Linked DNA regions of Stegostoma tigrinum. The protein of the gene in region 1 interacts with the protein of each later gene in a biochemical or structural test. Links are inferred from orthologs where the notes say so. Each region holds a gene or a part of one and is shown in the gene's direction. Other genes may lie near its edges.

Region 1 (9,423 bases):
CCTTATTAATTTTGCAAAAAATTTTCTATTTTTTAGTGGACAAAAATAAATAAATGTAGTGCAGTAATTGTGTTATATTGCTGTTAGTGTTGTTAAACTGTTGAAGAGAAATGTCAAAGTAGAGTACCTTTCATCTTTTGGAGCTGGTGAAGCTGATTCACGTCTGTGTCTTGTTAATTTAAATACATGTTATCAATATCGCAAGGTCTATGGGCCCTGTCAACATTGGGCTGAAATTTTGAAGATTTGTGCTCCAGGACTATCTCCACCGCTCACCAAACTGTTCCAACACAAGCACAACACTGACATTGACCTGGTAATGTGAAAGCCACTTTGGTATATCTTGTCCACAGAAAGCAGGACAATCTAATTTAGTTGCTTTTTATCCTATCAGTCTACCCTTCGTTATCAGCAAAGTGTCTTTTACAGTGCTGCTAATACCTGTAGTCTACAAAGTTTGGATCCTCCAGAGCCCCTCATGCTGCAGACTTCATCATAACCTGGAACCAAAAGTCCTGAATTCCAGAAGTGAGAGTTCTTGACATCCAGGCAGGTTTGATCGATTGTGGCATTAAGGAGTCCAAGTGAAATTGAAGTCAACGTGAATCAGAAAGCAAGCTCTGCAACAGGTGCCGTCATACCCCTCACAAAGGAAAATGGTTTCCAACTGCAACCAATCATCTCAGTCCTGGGATATTGTTTTAGGAGTTCTGAAAAGGATTCGGACATTTTAAATTGCTTTATCAATTACATTCCCTCCAACATAATGTTAGAAATTGGGATGTTAGCTGATGATTGACAAACTGTTCAGTTCCACTTACCTTGGGTGCTGAAGGAGTCAGTGCCATGCAGCAAGATTTAGACAACATTGAGTCTTGGCAGGTATATGGAATGTAACGTTCACATCTCACATTTCAAATAATGCTGTCTTCCAAGAAAAGGAAATCTAATTATCTTTTGCCTTGATTTTCACTGGCATTGAAATCACTGAATCCACTTCCATTAACATTCTAAAATAACTTGATTAGAAATTTAGCAGGTTTAGCTATTCTGTGACTGCAAGAGCAGGTCAAAGACTGTGTGTTCTCATTCACAGTAACTCAAAATAAAACCTCATAGGTTCTTACACAATGGTCATCTGAGTCTTTTTGTGTACCACATTCTAGGATTTGGAGGTTTCCTTTGCATAATTAATGTGATCTGATCAGAGCATTCATTTGCGAATAGCTTAAACCCTAAAGATTTGTCTGCATAGTTCAGTGATGCTTTTAAATTGAGATTGCCGGTTTTATAGCCTATGAAAATCTACTAACAAATGCATGTTGTAAGAATGCGTAATGTACAGAGGAAAAGTTACTGATTTAATTGAGTGAGTGACATGTCCTTTGGAACTTAAGCTTGGTTTTCTGTACAACCCGAGCTACTGATATTTGAACTGGTCTTGGTACATACATGGTGTGCTAGTGCTCAACACAGTGTATTAAGTGAAGATGTATTTTAGTAATTTAAATTTTGGTATATTCTTAAAAATAAAGCTTGCTGATTTATTAACTTTTGAATGCATCATCATTGTGGATATTATTGGACAAATTATTCTTAATGTCTTTGGAATAAATGTTAATCAGTAAATAAATCTGAAAATATAAAGTGGCATTAGTAAGTGTGACCTTGGAACTGTCAGATTATCGTAGAAACACAACTAATTTCCTGATGTCCTTAAAGGAAGGAAATGACATCCTTATTTGGCCTAGCCTATTGTGACCTCTGGAAAGAGATTCAGTGTTTTGCATCGAGGTTCGTTGGCTGTATGGGCTGTTTGCAGAGAATAGCATCCCACAGCTGCTGGAGAACCATCAATCTGGTGAAAGTTTCTCTTTAGGCTGCCTGAAACTTGCTGGTGCAAAGAGTTGACTGAAATTGAATATTTAGTTCCAAGTTTTGAATTCCATGGTTCTGCACTTCGAGCTAAGGGATGCACTAAAGCATAGGTTATATTCAGTAAAGGAGCAGGGTCACCATCTAAAGCCTTTTAGCTGTAGTACAGTGAGGGGGTGGAAACTGAGTAAAACCCCCTTGGTCTATATTTTTGACGTAATAAATCCTGCAAATATTTTGTAAATGTAGCACATAGAATACTCAGCATTCACACATTCTGTAAGCCAATTTGTGCTACTAAAGAGCTAACGCATATGATGTCACTCTTTGGTTACCAGCTATATATGAATGCAGATCTATGCAGGATACAGTAAACTCTGTACTACCGTTCTTGATTACTAATCTAATGTAGCCTATTTACTTGATCTATTTTTACTTGTCATACAAAAATTTGTTCAATGCTGAAATATTGCACATTAAGATGTCAGGGTTCTTAATCACAAATAAATATGCCAAAGTGAAAGGGTAGGTGCTGTAATATATGTCTAACCTGTTTAAATGCTTAGTTGCCCAGCACAAGGTTTGAAATGAAATAGTTGTTTAAAAAAAATTGGAGATTATGCATTCTTGTCTTTGTTCGTATTAAAAATTCCATATGCCAACTGAATGCAAATATTAAATATATTATCAGTGTAAGAAGAATATTTTTAAACATGTCAAATCCAAATTATAATCCAATAAGATATTTTCATAATTTACAGCATATTGTGGGCACTTAAACACCAGAAATGGCACATTCATATAATTGAATTAAAATGAGAAATATATGTATGCTTTGGTACTTGATCATTTTTCAACATGTCAAAAATGCTCAGCTCTGGGACTATAGTTTCAAGTCATGTAAGAGTTAATGAAGCCTTGTTGTCAATATTGTCCCATGGGAGGAAGGATGAAGCTTTGTTTAAATGAACTACATTTTCTTTCTCCAAAACGTGCAGATTCCCATGCTTATGAGCCATAGCACTTCTCAGTGCTGAACTGAATGTGGCTTCTAAACTTAATTTTATAAATCTTTTACACATGTCCTGCTACTAATTCACAGCCAGAAAATATTATTGTTTGAGCAGTGTTTATTGAAGACGTAAATGCCGTTCCCAACTTTGTTTTGATTCTGGCAATGTTTGGTTTATTAATAATAATAGACAGAAATTCATACTGGCAATGAGAAACAGTCTAATTTAACAAGGTTGCATGTTAAATGAGTTTCAGAAAACACAAGTTGTGAGCTATTATTCCTCAAGTGTTATTGATTTTTCGATGTAAGCTGAGATGCTGGGTTTTCTTTTGCATTGCTTTTCTTAACCATTACCTCCGTTTCCTCACAGTTTTGTAGTTTGTGTTTACAAAATTGTGACTCTATTAAAACCATTCAGTGTGCTGGTGACGGAGCAAGGCAAAATATTAAAGCAGACAAAGGTAAAGTTTGAAAATTCACCCAGCCTTATGATTGCCTTTTAGAAATAAGCTTGCCTGGATAACATTTGGGCATGGGAAGTTGGAAGGATTATATGTCAGGATGTGAAACATCCACTGCTGAAGTTGGTGATCCGAAGTAGAGAGCAGGATTGTTGTAGTGATGCTAAAAAGTAGCATAGGTAAATATTGGCATTTAATCGTAGTTTTTCAATTTCTAGAACTGCTCAATTACTATCTACTCTTCAACTATAGTTCATACCTACGCATTTCATGCCCTAGCAAGTTGCTTATGCCTAATCTTTGCTTGCCGGATTACTTCTGCAAACGCACCATCATTATATCATCAATTGTCCTCCGTGATGAATACTCATGTAAAGACAGTTGTAAGAAACAAATTAGTTGATCTCTCCAAACCGACCTCGAGTGTAGTTATCAAATATCAAGTAGTTGCTTTTCTCCCCAGTTAAAGCTAAACTGTTATAAATAGATGTTTTATAGTAGTTTAGTAACATTTTTCTTAACTTCCACACAATTAGGAAATATAGCCAAAGAGCTTTCAATTCTGTTTTGAAAATTAAAAACACTTGAATAGAAACAAATAACTCCCATTCATCAGATAATTGAACAAATTGCCCACTGCAATTTTTTTCCTTTTTACTGTATGTCTTTCAATGAATCTTATTTCCGATCGGTTTCCAAAGTGAAATAGAACTGGGTCTTACTGCACTTTACATCAGTTAATAGAAATGCTTGAACAATTGAACCTGCACTGATTAAATGTCAATTAACTCTGTAGCATCAGTTGGATAATTTCATGAATAGAAAAATTAATTTGGTGTTGAGCCTTATGCAGAACCTTCAGAATGCAAAGTGAATGATGTCAGGCCAATTAAACAGTTAAAAGACCTTTGAATTAGTTGAATGAAGAAAGCAGATAAGCAAAAAACTTTTCTTTTCTGATGAAGGGTCTAGGCCCGAAATGTCAGCTTTTGTGCTCCTGAAATGCTGCTTGGCCTGTTGTGTTCATCCAGCTCCACACTTTGTTATCTTGGATTCTCCAGCATCTGCATGCAGTTCCCATTATCACTGCTTTTTTTTTTCTTGTTAGTTTATATTACAAATAGTAAGATTGTGAATATTTTTAAAGTGTCCAAATGTCTCTTTAAAATATAGCTCATACAAAATTGACTACCTGGTATATTGGAGGTATCCATCTAGGCAGAAATTAACATACAAGCTATTAGAAATCATCTTTTAACGTAACTGTTAGGAGTAATTTAACAATGCTGCACAGTTGACTATGAAATGTACACTGGTACTTGTGTAAACCTTTTTTTCCTGTAAGGTTAAAGTTCTGTTGACATGGCATTAATAATTATCGTAACATTGACTCTCTTGCCCTCTGCTATGGAATGTATCAGAGCAGCTGAATTTAAAATCCATTTGTAAACATCTAGACTGCTGTTTTGAGCTCACTAATTACCAGAACTCAAACTTTAAATCAGTAGATAAATTATTTAATTTTATCAGGACTGAGTTTAGAGAAGAGGTGAATCCAGTGTTTAATTAGAGTCTCTGCAGTTGTTAAGTGATTTAATTCAAGCTTCCACAGATCTTGTGGCCCACTTAAATCGGTTTTTATGTAGCTTTACTGTTTTATGTTACCGTTCAAAATATTTTGATCAAATAATTCCTTTTCTATTGTATATTGGTTGTTTTCCGAATTCTGAATTGGTGTTGATATGGAACTTTCATTTGAGGTGATCACTTAGGCAATAAAAACAACTTTAAATATCACGATATTATATAATTGTATTGCTGTTATAATGGCCTCGAGACATGTTTGCCACATTATATAATTATTTTGGCAGTTTAGTATTTAATCTTTTAAAAATGGCTTTTTAAAAAAAACTCCCAATATCTATTGCGGGTAAACCTAGATTTTTCAAGGGTTTTTATGCAATTGTGCATCAAGCACACTACTGACCTTTTACAGAAAAATCAAAGGTCTGCTGTGGTGAGTGGTTTATATCTGAAACAGTATTTAAATGATATTTCAGTGTATGTCATCGGACTTGCAGTGCTTGGTATTTGCTGTTCAGATTTTTCGATTTGTCTATTTAGTGATAAGGCATAAATACGAGACTTCCCTTTTGGACACTCGGAGAATGAGTGAGGAATGGCTTTTTCTGTCTGATGTTACTCTGAGAAGGTGGAGTTTTTCAGCACTCCAGTAAAAGCAGCAGGGGAAATAAATTATTTCCAGTCGCTGCATTTTATGCCTGATCACCTCCCGGTTTTAGTCCGTGTTCTGACTGAAGGGAAAGCGTTTGCCTTCCTAAAAAAAGTTAACAAAACAAAGACGCGCCTTGAGGCACGTGGGAGGGGGCTGGAAAGTGGAATACAATATGCTCTGAAGAAGACGTACTCGAAAGCTGTATTGCAGCTTATGAAGCTGATGTATTAGAATGCAGTAGAAACAGCTGACAGCTGGCAGTTCCTGGCTTATGACTTTCCCAACAGAAGCTCCCTGACATTAAACTTGTAATCTCTTTAATACAGCAAAAAAACTCATTCTCAACAATCGGTTTCCAGCAGAACGGAATCTGAAGAGGACAGAGAAATGGCTAAAGAACGATGCTTTAAATATTGGACTTTATTCTCTCTGGTTGGAATATTCTTGACAGATTTTGTATGTGGATCTGTGGGGTTTTACCCAAGGTTTGCCCCATTTTTTTTCCTTTGTACCCACCACGGAGAACTGGAGGGTGATGGAGAGCAGGGAGAGGTGTTGATGTCACTTCACATTGTGGGAAATCCAGAATATTATGTGCCTGGTCAAGAATATCATGGTAGGTCACTTTTACTTGAATGGATGTTGCTTACAGGTTTTAGTGGCCAGTTTAACAAAAAAAAGTGTAACAGTTTCTGGATGAATCAAATGTGTTTCTTTCACATGATTTGACTTGTGAAATGCATATTTTAGTATAAAATTGGCATGCCCCTGGTTTATGCCTGCATATTTGAAAGAAGCAGTTCTTTGTTTTGAGAGCTGGTAGAGTGTTTAATATTTTAAATAGTTTACCTTAAATGAGCAAGGTTAAAATGAAATCATATTAATGTGACTGACTTGACCATTCACACTTTTGCTGATATGAATTATGAAGACAAATTAATCCTTTGGGGTTTTTTCTTTGTTGTGAACCATTCCCTTTCTGTTCCTAAATCTCTGTCCTTCAAAGATTCTATTGTGGGGATTGGATGTATTAAACTAAGCTGGCAGGTTTGAGTAGGCTTTGTGTGTGGGCTCAACTCAAGTGTAAAAAAAATCTTTTGCTGGGACAGCTGTCAGTCCCTGACCAATCTACATTTTAAAATAAAGTCAATAGATTTTTAATGTAAGAGCACATAGCATACTTGTGGATCATTTCTAGCGTGCAGACTGTGTCCGCAGTCAGGTCGAAGATAGCAGGATGCCCTGCACAGTGTCTCCACTGTACATGTGTGATCTATAGCTGATTGCTCCCTGTAAGACAAAAGTGAGAGTTCAGGTCAGCTGTGCATAGGGTTGAATTAACATGGAGAAAAACAGCTTGACTTGAGCAGTAGGAAGCAAAAATGTCACTCTTGTATCAACGCAGAAGGTTCGGACAGTCTCCAGAGGGAAAACTAAATAACAGTACTCCAAACAGTAATGTTGAATACTTTGAAATAATTTTATTAGAAGTAGAAAGCTTTAAGATTTAACAAAATCTGTGAAAAAACCTTTCTTTCATTCCAGACTGGCTACTCTAATACAATGGAATCAAAGAGTGTATTTGTAGTCAAGCAAGATATTTAACCAGTTCAGTGCAGTATTGGCAATTGTTCATCCATTGGGACTAATTAGCAGAAAACAGCTGTAAGATAATATACAGCACTTTTTCTGCAAGGTAATATTTCATTTTAAAACATGCAAGCATATTTAATTTCATATTCAGTTGTTGTTTCAGAGCAAGTACTAAACAGACCAAATAAACAACTATAGAGAACACTATGATTGTACAATCTTCACCTTGAAGGAGAAGGTATTGAGCTGTCTTTTTTGGGGATAGATACTATCTTATCATTCTGTTCTGATGAGTGTAATTGGGGGGGAAAGGGCATTTAACTCATTAACTATTATTTACAAATCACCCAATCAACAGCTAATTAGTGAATGTCATTCTTATTATAAACCTGAATCTGGATTCACTTATTTAGCTTCCAGGATGTGTACTGTCATAAAGCTATGAGAGAGTGGTTTTGTGAACATTTATAATGAAGCCTAAAGTGTTGTACCTTTTTGGTTATTTTATCTTCTGATTATTTCACAATATTGATACAGGCAAAGAAACTCCATCTTTCCCAACATTAAGCCGTGACAGACGTTTGGCGCTGCAATTCAGAATTTAAATACAAAAAACAGTCCAATGGGCAATTATAAGGGAAAAATATAGCTTGAGATTCAAATAGGTGTTAAAAGACCTAAACTTTCAGAAATAGCTAACAGGAATGCTGATTCCTGTTTATGCTGGGAATGCACCAATAAGACTGGATCTCAATGAATAGATTTAACACGTAGCTGCCTATATTTGTCTCTGCTGTACTGAATGATTTTGGAGCCAAGTTAATTATTAAACTGTTTCTGCCTTGGAACTTTTGTAACAGTAACTTAAACCATGGAAATAGTAAAGCAAATTTGATTTATCAGGTATTTTCTTCTGTAACTCAACAGATAATGTGAAAGGGAGTTCCCTGCACTTGTTTACCCCTCACTAGGTCTGCAGTAAATTCTCGCCATGTTGTAACTCAGATATTTTACCCAAGAGTTGTGGGACAAAGTTGTGTGTACATGGAATCCTTCAACCAAAAACCTTAAACCATCACCTGTTCTCACATCTCCACAAATAGTTCTTGAGTTGGATATGAATACAAGTTGAATTTCCTGATTGTGTTTCCAGATCTTCCCCCCCCAGAAGCAGATTCTCTCCAATTAGTATCTTCCTCTACCTGGCTAAAATAGAGAATTAACTAGCTGGGGAAACAATAGGGAGAGCAAGGTAGTCCATTTATGCACTCATGCTATTGTGCTTTCTGAATGCTCTTTGAAAATCGCAATTTTTCTGTTTTGTGCCGTATCCATCTCTCAAACTAAATCAAATAGTCTGTTTTTCATCATTTTTTGAAACCAAAATCATGACCATCTCCACCAGCTTGTTTTAACTTTAACATTCAACGCTGTGGAGTTTATATTTAAGTTTGTGCTGTGTCAAGTTTTTGATCTGAGTTGTTTTGCGTAAAGAGAATAATATGCATATGTTTTATCTTGTGGTGGGGGTAAGTTTTTAAAGGAAAAATATATTCCTAGCCACTATGTCAAGGCTATTGACAATCTACTAGTAACAGTTTATAAGTATCTAGGAGCTCAGTACTTGAGCCAGAGATGATATAGGTAGACATTCTAGGGAAAATGAAAATAAAGACAGTATAAACTAAGAGTTTAATTCCTAAATATTATTTCATGTGATGTTTACAACATGAACTATCAATTTCTTGTGAGTAGGAAGCAGCAATACAGTTCTCCTATCCTACGTAAACCAAAAACCAGACAAATGGTTTCGATTTGATTTTTATTCCCCAAGGCAGGGCCATGTAGAGTATCAAAATATTTTACTGTTAATAATCATTGATCCCAGTATATTTGAGAACATTAATGTCACTTGAAGACTTGACCACACAGCACAAATCCACAACATTTGAGCCATAAGAACTCAGTATTTTTTTTTAAAAACATCAGCTTATTTTACATATAAAAATGTATAATCATGTTTAAATATCAAAAAATGTAGACTCACACTTATTTCACACCATTCATGATCACAAGGTGTCTCAATGGGGCTAGTGAAGTACTTTTAAAGAATGGTCCCTTGTAATGTAACATTTTGTGATCAGTTTCTTGGAACCTATGAGGTCAGGTCACTTGTTTAATATTTCTTGACTCAGTTTATTTCTAGGTATTTTGATCTGCAAGTGTGATTAATAATTTTCTGG
Region 2 (8,388 bases), on another chromosome or scaffold:
ATTCACACAGGAAAATATGAGCAATATCCCTCACAGGGGGAGATACCAAAACAAAATCAATTAATTTGTTTGGAAATTGAGAGATAAAAGTCCTTGACAGATTAAAAGGATTTAAAACAAATGTGCCCAGGAATGGTCCTGTGGGAGTAATGGTTAATCATTTCTACAATTATAGCCTAATAAATAGCAGGTAATTCAGATTCAGAGGGTAAATATCCTGCCCAGCTGACCTCATTTTTTGAGAAAGTCACGTCCCAAATAAGTGATGGTGAGGCATATGTCATAATTACAGGCCAGTGTCATGGTGATGACAGGGATTTGTAATCCTGTAAACCCAGACTAATGTTCTAAAGCTGTGAGTTTGAATCTCCCAATGGTGATGTTTGAACGTAATAAAATTCTGGAATTTACGAAAGGTGATGGACATGTAACCACTCTAGATTTTTGTCAAAAAAAAACCCATTGGTTCTCTTATGTCCTTTAGGGAAGGAAATCTTCCATCTTTTCCCAGTGTGGCCTACAGATGTTTACAGACCAACTGCAACGTGGGCGACCGTTCACTGCCCTCTGGATATATGATCCATATCTCATGAATTAATTCTTTTCAAATGATATCGATATTGCCGAGAAAATACATTGACTGAAGCTTTTTTGAAATACTCATCAGGGCAACTTGCAAGAATACCAATTTAAGTGGAAAATTAACATTTATATTGTATGAGTGTGCTGATGGAATTTGAGTAGTCCAGGCTTTACCATGGAAAATGCACCAGTTTTTAATCTTTGTTTAGGTTTTAAACCAAGAAAGTCGGCTGATTGGTCATGACATTAAATTGGGAAATGAACCAGTGATTGCCTCTTACTTAATTTGTTACATTGAGAGAGTCGCAGAGCATATGCATGATTTTTCTATCCACAAAGAACATGATTTCAAGTGCTGTTTCATCCTGCTGCTACGAAGTAACAACATCAGTTGTGTTTTCCAATACAGCTGTTGCTATCAAGCCATAAAAAGTTATGCCTTTCCTAAAGATGAGTCATGTGATATATGAATTTCAGTGACAGTGTGATGCCCGGTAGGCCACACTCATGTCAAACAGCGCATTTCTTCAACTGACAGAACATGTAAAATACAAACTCTATTCTACCAGCCTGTGCTTGCAAAACTCACAACAGAATGGCCAACTGTGGTTAGCACTGCTGTCTCACAAGGACCAGGGCTTGATTCTAGCTTTGGGTGACGATCAGTATGGAGTTCATATGTCCTCCCTGTGTCTGCGTGGGTTTCCACCGGGTGCTCCGGTTTCCTCCCACAGTCCAAAGGTGTGCAGATTAGGTGGATTGGCCATGCTAAATTGTTCATAGTGCCCAGGGATGAGTGGGTTAGGTGGATTTAACATGGTAAATGCAAGGTTATAGGAACAGGGTCAAGGGTTGGGTGTAGGTAAGATACTTTTGGAGGGTAGATACAGATTTGATGGACTGAATGGTTTTTTCTGCACTGTAGGGATTCTGTGATTCTGCAACCGAACAACATTTGCTGGATAACTATGAGTATGCAAAGAATGACACTGACCACTGACAACCAATTTAGGATCATCAGTCAGACATGGCACGTGGTGTAAATGCATGTACTGGGAGCCTCATTTTATTTTCAGCAACGCCGATATACTCAAGTTCTCCAACTCCAAACAGCTAAATATACCCATATAACCAAAGCTATTTGACAATGTTTCACATTGAAAGTTATTAATAAGATTCAATCCTTTGGAGATTCACTGTGAAATCCTCAGCAGATGCTGCACAAAATGTGAATGCACCAGATTATTGCTCATGGTGTTTGGAGTAATATTTTAAGTTGGATGGAGGATTGATTAATGGGCAACAGAAAAGATCAGGACCAACAAAGCATTTTCATGCTGGCATACTGGAGTGCCGCAGTTATAAGAAGTGGGGTGTCAGCTATTTACAATCAACATAAAATTATTAATTAAAAAGCCAGATGTACCCAAGTTTGTTGAAGATACAAAGTCAAGTGGAAATAAAGATAAAGTTACCATAGTAGCCCTGGACCATGGGGCTGCTTTCTCATGAGACAGGCAACCAGTGGTCGTTTAACATGAGGGTCACCACACTGCTGATAAAGGGAGAGGTTGAGGAGGAGAATCTGTCATGGTGACTTCAGCTGGCATAGGAATTGAACTCACACTGTTTGGCATCATTCTGCAACAGAAACCAGTCATCTTGGCAAACTAAGCTAACCAACCTCATGTGGAAACGTAAGCTGTGAGAAGAACACAAAGCGGCTGCAAAGAGATATGAAGAAGTTAATTGAGCAGGCAACAAATGGCAGATAGATTACATTATAGGGAAGTGTGAGGTTAGTAGTTATTTTTATAGTCACGGAGTCATACAACACAGAAACAGACCCTTTGGTCCAATCTGTGTCAACCATAATCCCAAACTAAATTAGTCCCACCTGCCTGTACTTGGCCATATCCCTCCAAATCTTTCTTATTCACGTACTTACCCAAATGTGTTTTAAATATTGTAACTGTACTCACATCCACCACTTTCTTTGGAAGTTCATTGTGCACACGAACCACTCTCTATGTGAATTGCCCCTCATGTCTTTTTAAAATCTTTCTTCTCTCAGCTTAAAAATATGCCCCGGTCCTGAAATCCCCCACCCCAAGGAAAATACACCTGCCACTCACCTTATCTATGACCCTCATTATTTTATAAACCTCTATAAGGTCATCTCTCAATCTCCTGCATTCCAGTGAAATAAGTCCCAGCCTATTCCACCTCTGCTTATAACTAAAACCCTCCATTCCCAGCAACATCCCGGTAAATCTCTTGATTAGTAAGATAGAAAGGATAATAGTGAGGATAGAAAAAGAGTAAATCTTTATGTTCAGAGAGGCCTGGCTGCACAAGAAATACAGAAAGTTAGCATGCATGTACAGCAAACAGTCAAGAAGTTAAATGACATGTAGATCTCTGGAACAAAAGCAAAGTTGCTGGAAAAGCTCAGCAGGTCTGGCAGCATCTGTGAAGGAAAAATGTAGATCTCTATTGGCTAGAGTTGTCAAATATTCTGTGCGAATGTGATACCCTGGCTACACACATACTCACACAAGCCACCCAAATCAATAGAATGTAGATAGATTTGAAATACTTAAGGACCATGAGGAACTGGAATATGGATCCGTTTTGACATTTGGGATTAAAGAGCATTTACTGAGGTTCCAAAGGGCATGTAATTTATTGGATAAAAATAGAAATTAAGCATAAATTCTACAGGTGTGGCAGCATCTGTGGAGAAAAATTAGAGTTAATGCTTCACATCTGGTAACCCTTTCTCAGAACACAGAACTGATCTGAGAAAGGGTCACTGGTCCTGAAGCATTAACTCTGATTTCTGTCCACAGTTGCTGCCAGACCTGCTGAGCTTTTCCAGCAAATTTCTATTTTTGTCCTTTAGATGTGGTGTCAATACAGCACCATCCCCTACAGGGCTCAAGTCCTCACTTAAGCGATTAACTTTACATGTCCTTTATCACTTGTTATATAGGAACAGTGCACAGGTTTGTAATTCTAACATGTTTAATTCAATATTGGCTCTTCTCATATCTTGTCATTTCACTGTTAAATGCTGAATTTCTCTACTTTTTTATGACATAATTATCACATACTCTATGTTTGTAACCTGGTTATTTGGTCTAATCGGACTACAATTCAGCAATTCATACTTTGGAGGTGTTTTCTCGAATACTGACACCCAGATTCTGGTAAAACAAGGACCTACTCCAGAAGGTAAACAATCCTTAGAACACAGGAGGCACTTTTGCCAAACTGGATTTGTCCAACAATTAAAGTTGAATAAACTTGAATGTTTCTTGAATAAAATACCAGTATTACGGAAACGACTGAAAACGGCAAAAATATATGAATCCCTGATTTTTTCCACCCATCGTCAATGTTTTGTGCAAAATCCCGTTAATTGTTGGGACTTGACCTCTTTGTATAAAATTTATCTGAAAGTCCAGCGTCAGTAGCTTTCAGGAGGGCTTGTCTGAGTTTATTAAGACTTAAAACCAAAGTCTTTCAATATTAGTCTAATCAATTTTGCAATCCTATGAAAACCTCTCGGGCACTTATTTCGAAGTTGAATTTAGGCTGGCTGGTCGGCATGGACGAGTGGGACCGAACGGTCGGTTTTCGTGCTGTACAACATCACTATGACTCTACCCAACTCCCCTTGATTTTCATAGAAAAATGTGACTATAAATAAACATCCCGACCTTTGAACTTTTACCTCTTGGTGTGATAACAGGGCCCATCTTCCTGCTCTGGCAAATCAGAACACAGAAAGGGGCAATAAAAAAGAACAACACACACACTTTTGTGAGATATTTTCTAATCAACAGAAGTCTTTTATTGCGAGAACCCATTCTGTTACAGTCAGTAGTGAGAACTCATTCACCAATAATGGGAAGGCGTACATTCAGTAAATCAACCATTTACCGTCCCATCAGCGAGCAGCTCTACCGACAGATATGGATTTACCATGCAGTTATTTAACAAGGTAATTGCGTTAGGAGGCACACAGCCACCAACCAGTTGTTCCAGAGAGCAGAGGGAACGCATTTAAAAGCACGTCTGTGCGTCATTCTGGCGTGTCCGTCTTTCCTTAGTTCGCTGGAGGGATTTAAAGGGAAAAAAAATACCCTGGTTCTTCTACCCGTTAATATTGGGGGACCAAGCAGCAGCTTGGCGCTGACAGTGGAACGCTGAAATGATCCCTCTCCGTGCGGTTTTGCCACTGCTGCTTGCAGTGTGTGTGTATCAGTGCCGATCTATACATGGTAAGTACTGTGACTCCATTATCTTAACACTGAGCCAGTGGCTGGGGTAAAGAAGCAGGTGGCAGGGCAAGATCCAGAGACAGGGGCGGGTGGGAGAAGACACAGGTTTTTTTTCAGGGGAAAAAAGTGACCTCCAGCTGAGCTGGTTTTATTTGCTCCTTTTCAGTCGTGGAGCTGTAATGTTGGGTTTTTATCTGAATCGTGGCGGGATACAATTTTTAAGTGGAGCCCTTTATTGTCACAACCTCCCTCCTTCGCGGGCTTGTGTACGCTCCCTGTGCCACTCGCTCGCTTAGTTGACTAATAATTGAAAAGCCACACTGTCGACTAGGAAATGCCTTGGGAATAGTCAGACCTACATATACCTAAAATGGAACAGTATATTAAAAGGGCAACAGTAACATTCAAGAATGTGATCCTTGACTGGAAATCTTTTTTTCGTAAAAGCATTACCATGGACCCAAGGGAGGAGCGAATAATTGTATTAAAGCTCCTGTATTTCTAGGATACCTTATTCAGTCCATTCCAAATGGGGGGGGGGGGGTGTGGAGGAATAAATATTAGTAGGTCCCACCAGCTAACTTTTTACTTTAAAAGTAAGCCTATATAGACTCGTGCTTAAGACAACCTACTGGGTTTTACACACAGACCTTGAAGCGTCTAGCTCAGAACTTGGTGAATGTGATGCAAGCCTCGGTTAGAGTTACATACACCAAATGGGTTAAACTCTCAAACCGATCGCAGCTAAACTTTCGTTAGTTGACATAACTTAAACCACAAATCGGCGGAGCCATCATTGGATGGAGTACTGTGTCAAGTATCAAATGGCTGGTCAGTCTGGCTTCATTTGTACCTGGACTGAACTGGAGTCATGTCAACTTGCGAAAAATTTTTTAACTTGAAACGGTACCATCAGCCACTTCCATAGTGTTTACACTCTGGCTGTTTCCCCCTGAATTCTAGGCTTATCTCTTGTTTGACCTTGGCTTGACTTTTTTAAAAGTCGAGTGTTTACTCCTGTAGCGTATTCGGGACTGCTCCAAGTGGAGCAGGAGGTGACATTCTTCTCCACCGCCCCTGCCCCCCCCATGCGTAACACAGTAAACTTGCTGTATTAACCCCCGCCCACCGCCATCCATGGTCACAGCACTCCTTGCTGAATGTGATCCAGATCTCGGATGCCCTGAACAGCAGATCCGCCTCAGTACCTAGCGAGCTGCCGGATTAAGCAGCTGTCTTAGTCTGTCTTCCTCCTCCGCGCCCACCCCCCAGCAAAACGACTTTGTTCACGGGAACAGGTTGTTTGAACTGTTAAACGCTTTCTTGAAACCTTGGCAGTGTGCAGCAGACCTTTCCTAGAGTCGCAGACTAAATGACCTTGAATTGGCAACGTTGGTGTTGTTGTAGTGAGGAGGAGCGCTGTAATTTTAATCCACCTACACACGGGTGTGTACGTAAATGATAGCTTGTTTCTTTTCCCACTTATGTGATGCTGGTTACAAAGTGGACTTGCCTGAAGTGCCCAACGTCCAATAATGGAGAAACGTTGGCGTGCCAGCTCTAAGCAAAGGGGGCCAGATATCCGAGCCCAGGGTTTCGCGGCAAATGGTTTGAAGACCAACCTCAACCCGACTAATACAGCTCTCTCTCAAGAGCTACCAGTTCAGAGTTCTGGCACTCTCCCTTGCTCGAGTATGGGGCAAGGTCCCTCAGTAAATTTAAATATCTGGAAAACTTTCTGAAGGGACCAGACCCGAAACGTAAGCTTTCCTGCTTGGCCTGATGTTCACCAGCTCTTCACCTCTAAATATCAGGAGTTTGTTTCAGGTTACTGGCTATACCTTTCTTTTCTAAGCAGAAACGTGACCTAAACGCAACCTTGCGAGTTGGTTCATAACTATATACAGACCCAGCGCCGATAAGTGGTACACTTTCACCTGACTATGAAACGGTTACGCAGCGTTAAGCTAGCCATAATTTTTAGTTTAAAATAGCAAAATTTGTGCTTAAAGATAAACTACAACTTCTTTCCCCTGGAGGCTCTCGAGTATCTTGTGAGGCATCACAGTTCCAGTGCCGAAATGGTCGCTGTATTCCCGCTGTATGGAAATGTGATGGAGATGAAGACTGCTCAGATGGAAGTGATGAAGCTGCCTGCGGTAAGCAGTTGAAATAGTCAAGTTCCAGGCTTAGAACTGACGTTTACTTCTAACTATATAGAAAGCATCAAGAATTGACTTTCTGGTCAAGACCCTCTAATACAACTAACTAGGGCTGGGTATTAGATGAAGTTTATTCCCTCAAGTTAACGTTGCTGATCTCTAGCATCAAAATGCTATTAGACCATGTCCAGAACATGCCATAGATTTTTAGCATGGATAGTTGAAGTTGCTTTTGAGACTTGGCATTTAAAATGCCAAAAGTACACTTTTAAACACACTCCTAACTGGAGTCTCAACCTTGACTTGAGATGTCTAGCTTGTCAATTTAGACATGCTGTTGCTTTCAAGATTGCATATTTCCATGCTGGACATGGCAACTTTTAAGAGACTCTTCCTACATGCCCCTTTCTCTTAGTGAATGCTAATGATGTAATCACTTGTTCCTCACATCCTATGCTCAGTATGACTGCGTACTTGAGCAAAAGTACAAACTAGTGAAACTGACTGCTGAAGTCCAATTGTCAGCTGAGCTTTATCCTCTAAAGGAGTTTCAGTGGTGAAAGTCACCACTAGGTGTAAACAATATCCTTTATCTGTCCTACATTACACACCTAAAGGAGGCAAACATCCTAACTTTTCACTAGCTATGAAGGCATTCATCCTCTGACTAGAGGACCAGCTCCTCGCTAATCCTGGTTTTTTCCAAGATTAATTGGAATCAACACCCCATTTACACTGACATTGCCAGACTTTGACTGATCATTGCTATAGCTGTTTGTCTCATCACTTCTCTTTCCATTGTGCTAGCTATTCATTGAACATCTAAACTCCTTTCTTAAACCTGATGTTAATGCATTGACTAGGCCCTAGCAATCTCATTACACATCACCCTCTTCATTATCAAGCTTTTGTGTATCTGTCCCTTGAGCCCCTTACCACTTCAGTTTCCATTACACTGACTGACCACCTTGTTCAACACAATTGACTTAGTTTTGTAACTTGTGTTTCTGTACTTGTACAATACTTAATTGTTACAAGTAGTTTACCCCCTACAGGGAAACCTAGAGCACGAGGCTAGATACTACCTGAAGCATTAAGTAGGACATGATTTTGTCTCCAAGTGTGTAGAATTGAAAATGGTGGTACCAGCTGCATGTCTCCCGAATGTTGAATAATAGCTTGTGCCACCTTGTACAAAGGACCCATTACTGAAGACACTGGAACACAGCCTATAACTAGATTATTAACTCTTTAAAAAATCTTTTCTACAAGTGACTAGGTTAACACTTTAAATCTCACATAGGAAATCTGAATATTCTAGGTTTTCCTCTAATCTTGTCAACAATGCACTTTCA

What was found.
Region 2: the proteins of reln (region 1) and vldlr form a complex in vitro, tested with the Homo sapiens proteins (6 studies listed by BioGRID). The link is inferred for Stegostoma tigrinum from reciprocal best matches to the Homo sapiens genes RELN and VLDLR.

What each region holds. Positions count from the first base shown.
Region 1 is NC_081378.1:23,254,368-23,263,790, forward strand, and holds the start of reln (reelin), read left to right. Parts: upstream 1-5,351; 5' UTR 5,352-5,368; intron 5,369-5,913; 5' UTR 5,914-5,974; coding exon 5,975-6,203; intron 6,204-9,423. UniProt on the Homo sapiens protein: Extracellular matrix serine protease secreted by pioneer neurons that plays a role in layering of neurons in the cerebral cortex and cerebellum by coordinating cell positioning during neurodevelopment.
Region 2 is NC_081356.1:4,785,008-4,793,395, forward strand, and holds the start of vldlr (very low-density lipoprotein receptor), read left to right. Parts: upstream 1-4,374; 5' UTR 4,375-4,801; coding exon 4,802-4,871; intron 4,872-6,910; coding exon 6,911-7,030; intron 7,031-8,388. UniProt on the Homo sapiens protein: Multifunctional cell surface receptor that binds VLDL and transports it into cells by endocytosis and therefore plays an important role in energy metabolism.